Arabidopsis thaliana: one gene and its partner. The protein of the gene in region 1 interacts with the protein of each later gene in a pairwise test. Each region holds a gene or a part of one and is shown in the gene's direction. Other genes may lie near its edges.

What was found. The genes of interacting proteins can lie anywhere in the genome.
Region 2: the proteins of SHD (region 1) and ACX1 interact in a two-hybrid assay, tested with the Arabidopsis thaliana proteins (one study listed by BioGRID).

The regions. Positions count from the first base shown.
Region 1 is NC_003075.7:12,554,306-12,558,058, reverse strand, and holds the start of SHD (Chaperone protein htpG family protein), read left to right. Parts: upstream 1-2,000; 5' UTR 2,001-2,207; coding exon 2,208-2,274; coding exon of another isoform or gene 2,275-2,278; intron 2,279-2,378; coding exon 2,379-2,496; intron 2,497-2,578; coding exon 2,579-2,732; intron 2,733-2,823; coding exon 2,824-2,904; intron 2,905-3,070; coding exon 3,071-3,182; intron 3,183-3,267; coding exon 3,268-3,394; intron 3,395-3,487; coding exon 3,488-3,626; intron 3,627-3,753. Other genes in the region: AT4G24200 (Transcription elongation factor (TFIIS) family protein), read left to right, coding at 1-1,132. UniProt on the Arabidopsis thaliana protein: May have a molecular chaperone role in the processing of secreted materials. Required for shoot apical meristem (SAM), root apical meristem (RAM) and floral meristem (FM) formation, probably by regulating the folding of CLAVATA proteins (CLVs).
Region 2 is NC_003075.7:9,426,754-9,430,506, reverse strand, and holds the start of ACX1 (acyl-CoA oxidase 1), read left to right. Parts: upstream 1-1,612; 5' UTR 1,613-1,817; coding exon 1,818-1,955; intron 1,956-2,084; coding exon 2,085-2,193; intron 2,194-2,280; coding exon 2,281-2,342; intron 2,343-2,422; coding exon 2,423-2,632; intron 2,633-2,721; coding exon 2,722-2,809; intron 2,810-2,894; coding exon 2,895-3,057; intron 3,058-3,189; coding exon 3,190-3,388; intron 3,389-3,654; coding exon 3,655-3,753. Other genes in the region: AT4G16765 (2-oxoglutarate (2OG) and Fe(II)-dependent oxygenase superfamily protein), read left to right, coding at 1-36, 119-164, 248-327, 467-533. UniProt on the Arabidopsis thaliana protein: Catalyzes the desaturation of both long- and medium-chain acyl-CoAs to 2-trans-enoyl-CoAs. Most active with C14-CoA. Activity on long-chain mono-unsaturated substrates is 40% higher than with the corresponding saturated substrates.

The DNA.
Region 1 (3,753 bases):
ACCGTGGCATTTGGAAAGATCTCTTAGCGGGAAAGGATCAGCTGCTACGAGTGTATTTCACTCAGCATTACCTCATAAAGTTCCTAGTGGGGATTTAAGAGAAAAGCAGGTGATTTCTCGTGGTATCGATCTGAACGTGGCTGAGGTAGGAGATGATCAAGTTGAAGATCTTACTCCTTGGAAACAGTTTCCTTTCTCCTCATCAAACTCTAGGGGTGGAGAGTCTTCACATGAAGCCAGTCTGCGAGGATCAAGCAAGTTCAACTTGGATTTGAATTGTATGAACGAGGACGATGAGATGCCTCCACCTTCTGAGTCGAAGATGGAAACAAGATTGTTTTTAAGTCACAATGGTCAGCAAAGCGCATCACCTGTCTCCTCATCGTCAGTTGCTCAACAATCAGGCAAGGAAGTAAACTTTGATTTGAATGACAGGCCACAGTTTTTCATTGATTCACGTGATCAGGGTCCCTACTATGGGCGGCACCCATGGAGTACAGCCTCCTATGGGGGGCACAAATTGGAAGAACCAGGTATATCTATCTTGGGTACAAAAGTGGAAGCTGACAGAAAAGACTCTGTACCTCAGATGGCTTCGTTCTTGTCCAATGGCAAGTCCCTCGAGCCTGCAACAGGTTTACACATGGGAAGAACGGGAAACTCTTTGGGTCTAGCCCCTGGTGTCTCCTTTTCTCCAGCCCCTATGTATGGCTACAACGGATTGACTGGTCCTCCTGGTTTGTCAATGTCATCACCCATGTATGTTCCTGGAACTGCTATTCCATACATGGTGGATTCAAGAGGTACCCCAGTGATGATGCCGCAAATAATCGGATCAGCGCCGTATGTGCAGCCACCATTCCCTCAACAACACATGTTCATGAGCTTGGCGGGTGGATCGCCTAGTACGAATGGATCAATGCGGCCAAACTTTGATCAGAACTCTGGGTTTGGACTTGAGATAGGAAACAGAGAGTCGCTAAATTTGAGGCAGTTTCTATCACCTTCACAAAGCGGGGCTATGGGAGAGCATTCAGGAGCAAATGTAGAGCCCTCATCGAGTTCTTCTATCAGCATTGGTGGAAAGCGAAAAGAGCCGGAGCCACGTTGGGAGTTTCCTCCATGGAGGTGAGTGATCTACAAAGTGGTGGAGATGGGTTCTTGAATAGGTTGATGAATTGATTGATTGGTCAAAGGATGATGACAAGTGTTTTGAGGTAACTTATAAAGTGTCTTGCTGAACTTTTCCTTCTTTTTTTTTTATTTCCTCAGTTTTCCCATTTTTCAGGTTTTTTATTTTATTTCATAACATATAGGAGGATTAGTTCAAACATTGGTATATGTCAAGCTTCTTTTTAACCTTGTTGGGTTTTTCTCCATAAATAAATATATAGTTTTAAGATACAGAAAAGGTTCTAGTGGTTTGATTAATCTGTTGCGTCCATTTTCGTTCCATTCGTCGATATGTTATGCTCTCATTTCTGAACAACTGTTCATGGAAGAAAGCAGCGAAGGAGGTCTCTGGTGAGGAAGGAAGTCTCTCACGTGTTGTATCTTTCAATAAATAATGGGACCAAATAGACATTACCATTTTTGAACCGCGCATACATATTGCTACTACGGATGAGTGATGACTATGATCTTCCCAAATTGACAAATTGTATCGCCTTTAGGCGAGACTTTAGCCATCAACCGATTAAAGCCAGCCAAACGTAATAACCTTGGCAAGCATAATCATCGTTGTACAAAGAAAAACATCATTTTACTTTTGTATCCGACATCAATAAAAGCATAGCATCCTAATATCCAATAGTTATTTGTCACATGTAAAACAACTAAATATAGCCGTCCGATCGTCCCAATTAGGACGTAAACGAATATCACCGTTGATTTAGCATACTTTGATAATTTAAAAGTCGTCCATCCACGCCACAACCCCGAAATCCACGTCGCTCCACGTCAAGAACAAAACCTTGCTCCAATACAAAACTACCACGTGGCTATCTCACAATACGATCCGTTAGATCTGACACGTTGGCAAATCATGACGAAGCTAACCAATCAGGAGAAACTAAAGTGTACGCAACTAAACAGTTCACACATCACTGAATCATTTCCTATTATATACGGATCTATCGAGCTGAATCATCATCATCACTGAGTAACCCGAAAGCAAAGACTGAGAGAACCAAGGCTCCGATCTAACAATGAGGAAGAGGACGCTCGTGTCCGTTTTGTTCCTTTTCTCGCTTCTGTTTCTTCTTCCAGATCAAGGTACGTTTCGATGTATATATGTGTTGATTTTGAGTAGATAGATATAAGTGTTGCTTAGGATTCATATGCTGATGATGGCGATATTTCTGTGGTGTTTATCATAGGAAGAAAGTTACACGCGAATGCAGAAGAGAGTTCCGATGATGTTACAGATCCACCAAAAGTTGAGGAGAAAATTGGTGGTCACGGTGGTTTATCGACGGATTCCGATGTAGTTCATAGGTTAGTGTTCTGTTAGTTTCACGGTAGAACTTTCGCTTGGATTGCTTGAATCTTGCCTTATTCGAATTCGTTTGATCGACAGAGAGTCTGAGTCGATGTCAAAGAAGACGCTTCGCAGTAACGCGGAGAAGTTTGAGTTCCAAGCTGAGGTTTCTCGGCTTATGGACATTATTATCAACTCTCTATACAGTAACAAGGACATTTTCTTAAGAGAGTTGATCTCCAATGCTTCTGATGTAAGCAGCTTCGTGTACATTGTTTTAGTGAGTTTTTGGGATACCTCGTTAAATAGGGGAACTAATAAGTGTCTGTGTTGGTGATTTTCAGGCCTTGGACAAAATTAGGTTCCTTGCACTCACTGACAAAGACGTTTTGGGTGAAGGTGACACTGCTAAGCTTGAGATCCAGGTTAGCTACATGTTTCTCAATATGATTTTTATGCTTGAGAGTGTTGAAAATAGAGTTTCATCGATTTGTTTTATCAAATGCTGATCTCAGTAAATTTAGCCTTTCGTTGGAATTGTGTCTAGTGTAAGCTTTTTTCTTACCTCCGTAACTATGCTATGGTATGCAGATTAAGCTAGACAAAGCCAAGAAGATTCTTTCTATTCGAGACCGGGGAATTGGTATGACTAAGGAAGACTTAATCAAGAACCTTGGTACCATAGCAAAATCTGGAACGTCAGGTACGTTACTTATGTGGTGATACGTTGTCCTGCATAATAGTATGGATCAATAAATTCCATATTTCTAAGATCTTGCCTTTCGCAGCTTTTGTTGAGAAAATGCAATCAAGTGGGGATTTGAACCTTATTGGACAATTTGGAGTTGGATTCTACTCTGCCTATCTTGTTGCTGACTACATTGAAGTCATTAGCAAGCACAATGATGACAGCCAGTAAGTTGATTTAGAGGGCTTTGTTTGGCAATATACTTGTGGGCATGTAAAATCATTGAAAAGCTTTTCTGATAACTTCTTTTCCGTTTTCAGGTATGTATGGGAATCAAAGGCTAACGGTAAATTTGCTGTTTCCGAGGATACATGGAATGAGCCTCTTGGACGTGGAACCGAGATTAGATTACATCTTAGGGATGAAGCTGGCGAGTACCTAGAAGAAAGTAAACTTAAGGTGGGTAATATTTTGATAAGAAAGTAAATTTCTCTTTTGTTACAAACCTAAATTAAGCAATGCAAAGAACCAGAATAACCCAGGGTTTGTTGTAGAGAACCCCAAACTCTCCTGAGGGGAAGTGGTT
Region 2 (3,753 bases), 3.1 Mb from region 1:
TGATATGATGGAGAGATGGACCAATGGATTGTTTCGGTAAACTTAAACCAGTTTACCTAGTCGTGAGTGCGGTTTTTATGCGTTCTTCACATTTCGTATTTTCTTGTAATGGGTTTAGGTCTACATTGCACAGAGTGATGCCGGTGGGAAAAGAACGTTACTCGGTAGCTTTGTCTTGTTTCTTTCTTTCTAATTTCTATACAAATTGATAAAGTTTTGAGTTATTTAAAGGAAAAGTTTTTTGTAGGTGGTGTTCTTCTTAGATCCCAATCCAGATTGTAATGTGAAATGCTTGGAGAGTTGTTGCAGCGAAACTTGTCCCCCAAGGTATTTCTTCTTGAATCTTAATCCAATTTAAGGGTGTGAGGAGAGGCACGTTACACGTTTGTTAAATCATTTGGTCTTCAAGTGTAAAAGAATAAAAGTTTAGTCCTTCTCTCATAAAGATTTAGTTCCATCGGTGCAGATTCCCGCCTATTCTCGCCGGCGACTATATCAAGGAGCGTTTCAGGCTAACATACGCCACTTCCTAGTCTTATGTTTGTGACGAAATGTAAGAAAAAAATAGTGTTCAAACTTCTACGTACCATAATGTTTAATTAGTGAAACTTATGGAACTTGAAAATGATTAGTCAGTCAAAGTCTCAAAGATAGACACGTTTAAAAGCCGTGGAACTTGAATGGGCGTTTACGTGTTTGGACCATACTCATACACATGGCGAATTTTCTGTGGTTTATAGGGACATTACTGTTTCAATTCAAAAGACAAACATTTTAATATTTACGAGAATAATACGGTTGTATACAAGTGTAATTACTTAACTATACTTTGAAGGAAACACAAATATTAATCAAGTTTTACCATACAGTTGACAAGCAAATGCATTTGACAGACACAAAAACACAAATGAATGTTGACATAGACCATACCCAAAATCACATTTCAATATCAAAATCTATATATATATATATATATATTTATGTATTTTCGTTATTATTTGAACCTGCAAAACGCAGTCACCATTCGGGCCCTTAAATCTTATTTTTATTTTCTTCGAAATGTGCATAACGCTACTATACCTGCAAAGTTGGAACAAAATACTATTTTAAACACAAGATAACAAAACATTATCTTATCTTCAATCTAACTATTTTATCTTCTTTTTATCAACATGTTCTTCAGATGCATGCATTTACTAATTCATATGGAAACACATATGGGAAAAAGAAAAAAAAATTATCCACACATCTGATTTAACGATATTTTAAATTTTATTTTAGTACACAAATACTGAAATACAACCACTTTTTGTCTGTCAAATATCCTTTGTTATACAGCATATAAAATTTTCTATACGTAGATATCCTTTTTTTCTTAGTCAAATATATATATGAGGGGGAAAAAATCACATTATTCCATACTTGCGAGGTTTTATTTGCAAACAACTTAATTTGTTTTCAACATTCGTTGACTAATTAACTTATATTAGGAATATATAATCCAAAATTTATTATTTTCCACGTGGGTTTTATCTATGTCGGAGAGTGGATCTGAGAAAAAGATAAACCCAAAATATATTAATTATAGAAAGAAGAAAAAAAAGAGTCTATATTTAAATCAATTTGTCTTTCTCTTCTTTTATCTCCGAAATAAAAAGCTTAATTGTTCTTCCAACTACTCTGCAATTAAATCGGTAGAGTGAGGCATTGTCCTTCTTTTTCTCCCTCTGTTTTTTTTTTTTTTTTTTCCTATCATCTCTGAGAGTTTTCTCGAGAAACTTTTGAGTGTTTAGCTACTAGATTCTGAATTACGAATCATGGAAGGAATTGATCACCTCGCCGATGAGAGAAACAAAGCAGAGTTCGACGTTGAGGATATGAAGATCGTCTGGGCTGGTTCCCGCCACGCTTTTGAGGTTTCCGATCGAATTGCCCGCCTTGTCGCCAGCGATCCGGTGAATTTCTTCGCGATTCTCGTTGATTTTTGTTCTGGTTTCGTTTGGATTCCGGGAAATGTTTTTGCGGCGAGGGAATATGATTAGGTCTCTCTTAGATTTGTGAATTTCTCAATCTTGTTTATATAGGTATTTGAGAAAAGCAATCGAGCTCGGTTGAGTAGGAAGGAGCTGTTTAAGAGTACGTTGAGAAAATGTGCCCATGCGTTTAAAAGGATTATCGAGCTTCGTCTCAATGGTATGGATTGTTCTCACACACGTATTGTTATCAAGGTTTTTTGATTGCGTCTTATTATTGTGCTCTTTCATTTTTTGTTTGTTACAGAGGAAGAAGCAGGAAGATTGAGGCACTTTATCGACCAGCCTGCCTATGTGGATCTGCACTGGGTACTACCTGCGTCTCATTTATCTTCTGGAGACAGGATTTTGATTCTTTGATTCATTGTTTTTGTATCTCTGCTCTATAGGGAATGTTTGTGCCTGCTATTAAGGGGCAGGGTACAGAGGAGCAGCAGAAGAAGTGGTTGTCGCTGGCCAATAAGATGCAGATTATTGGGTGTTATGCACAGACTGAGCTTGGTCATGGCTCAAATGTTCAAGGACTTGAGACAACTGCCACATTTGATCCCAAGACTGATGAGTTTGTAATTCACACTCCAACTCAGACTGCATCCAAAGTAAGTATACCAAGAAGCCTTTGATTGAGTATTATGCACAGTTTCTCTTGGTTGTGTAAGATTTTCATCTGTCTTGATTGTTTGAATAGTGGTGGCCTGGTGGTTTGGGAAAAGTTTCTACTCATGCTGTTGTTTACGCTCGTCTCATAACTAACGGAAAAGACTACGGTATCCATGGTATGTACCGGGAAAAGTTTCCAGTATTTTTTTTTTGTTCAATTTTTCTTGCTTGGGTATTGCTTTCTTAAACTTTCTCTTCCAGGATTCATCGTGCAACTGCGAAGCTTAGAAGATCATTCTCCTCTTCCGAATATAACTGTTGGTGATATCGGGACAAAGATGGGAAATGGAGCATATAATTCAATGGACAACGGGTTTCTTATGTTTGATCATGTTCGCATTCCTAGAGATCAAATGCTCATGAGGTCCTCTCTCTTTGCCTTTCGGGTCTGATTTTAATTAGCATTCACGATGTAATGATAGTTCTAGAGGAAATTGCTTGTGCATAAACTCGGGCTTATGGTTCTACATTTTTCTCCTCTTTCAAAACGTTTCAGGCTGTCAAAAGTTACAAGAGAAGGAGAATATGTTCCATCGGATGTTCCAAAGCAGCTGGTATATGGTACTATGGTGTATGTGAGACAAACAATTGTGGCTGATGCTTCCAATGCACTATCTCGAGCAGTTTGCATAGCTACAAGATACAGTGCAGTGCGGAGGCAATTTGGCGCACATAATGGTGGCATTGAGACACAGGTACTTATTCAAAAATCAAGGATACGCATGGTTGTTTACACCCATTGATGTTGGATCATAACAAATTTCAAAGTCTATTTTACCTTGAAAAACTTTGCTTGTAAGAATATTTTGCATATTTAGCCAAATTTGTCTGTAAGTTTCTGGTGAACTGTTTTTCTTCGGCTTGGTTTTGCATAGCTTTTTAAAACTCTCATCAACGTCTGCTGACTATTATGTTGGCTAGAAAAGGGAATGTGATATATTTATGCTTGTTGTTATCACAGGTGATTGATTATAAAACTCAGCAGAACAGGCTATTTCCTCTGCTAGCATCTGCATATGCATTTCGATTTGTTGGAGAGTGGCTAAAATGGCTGTACACG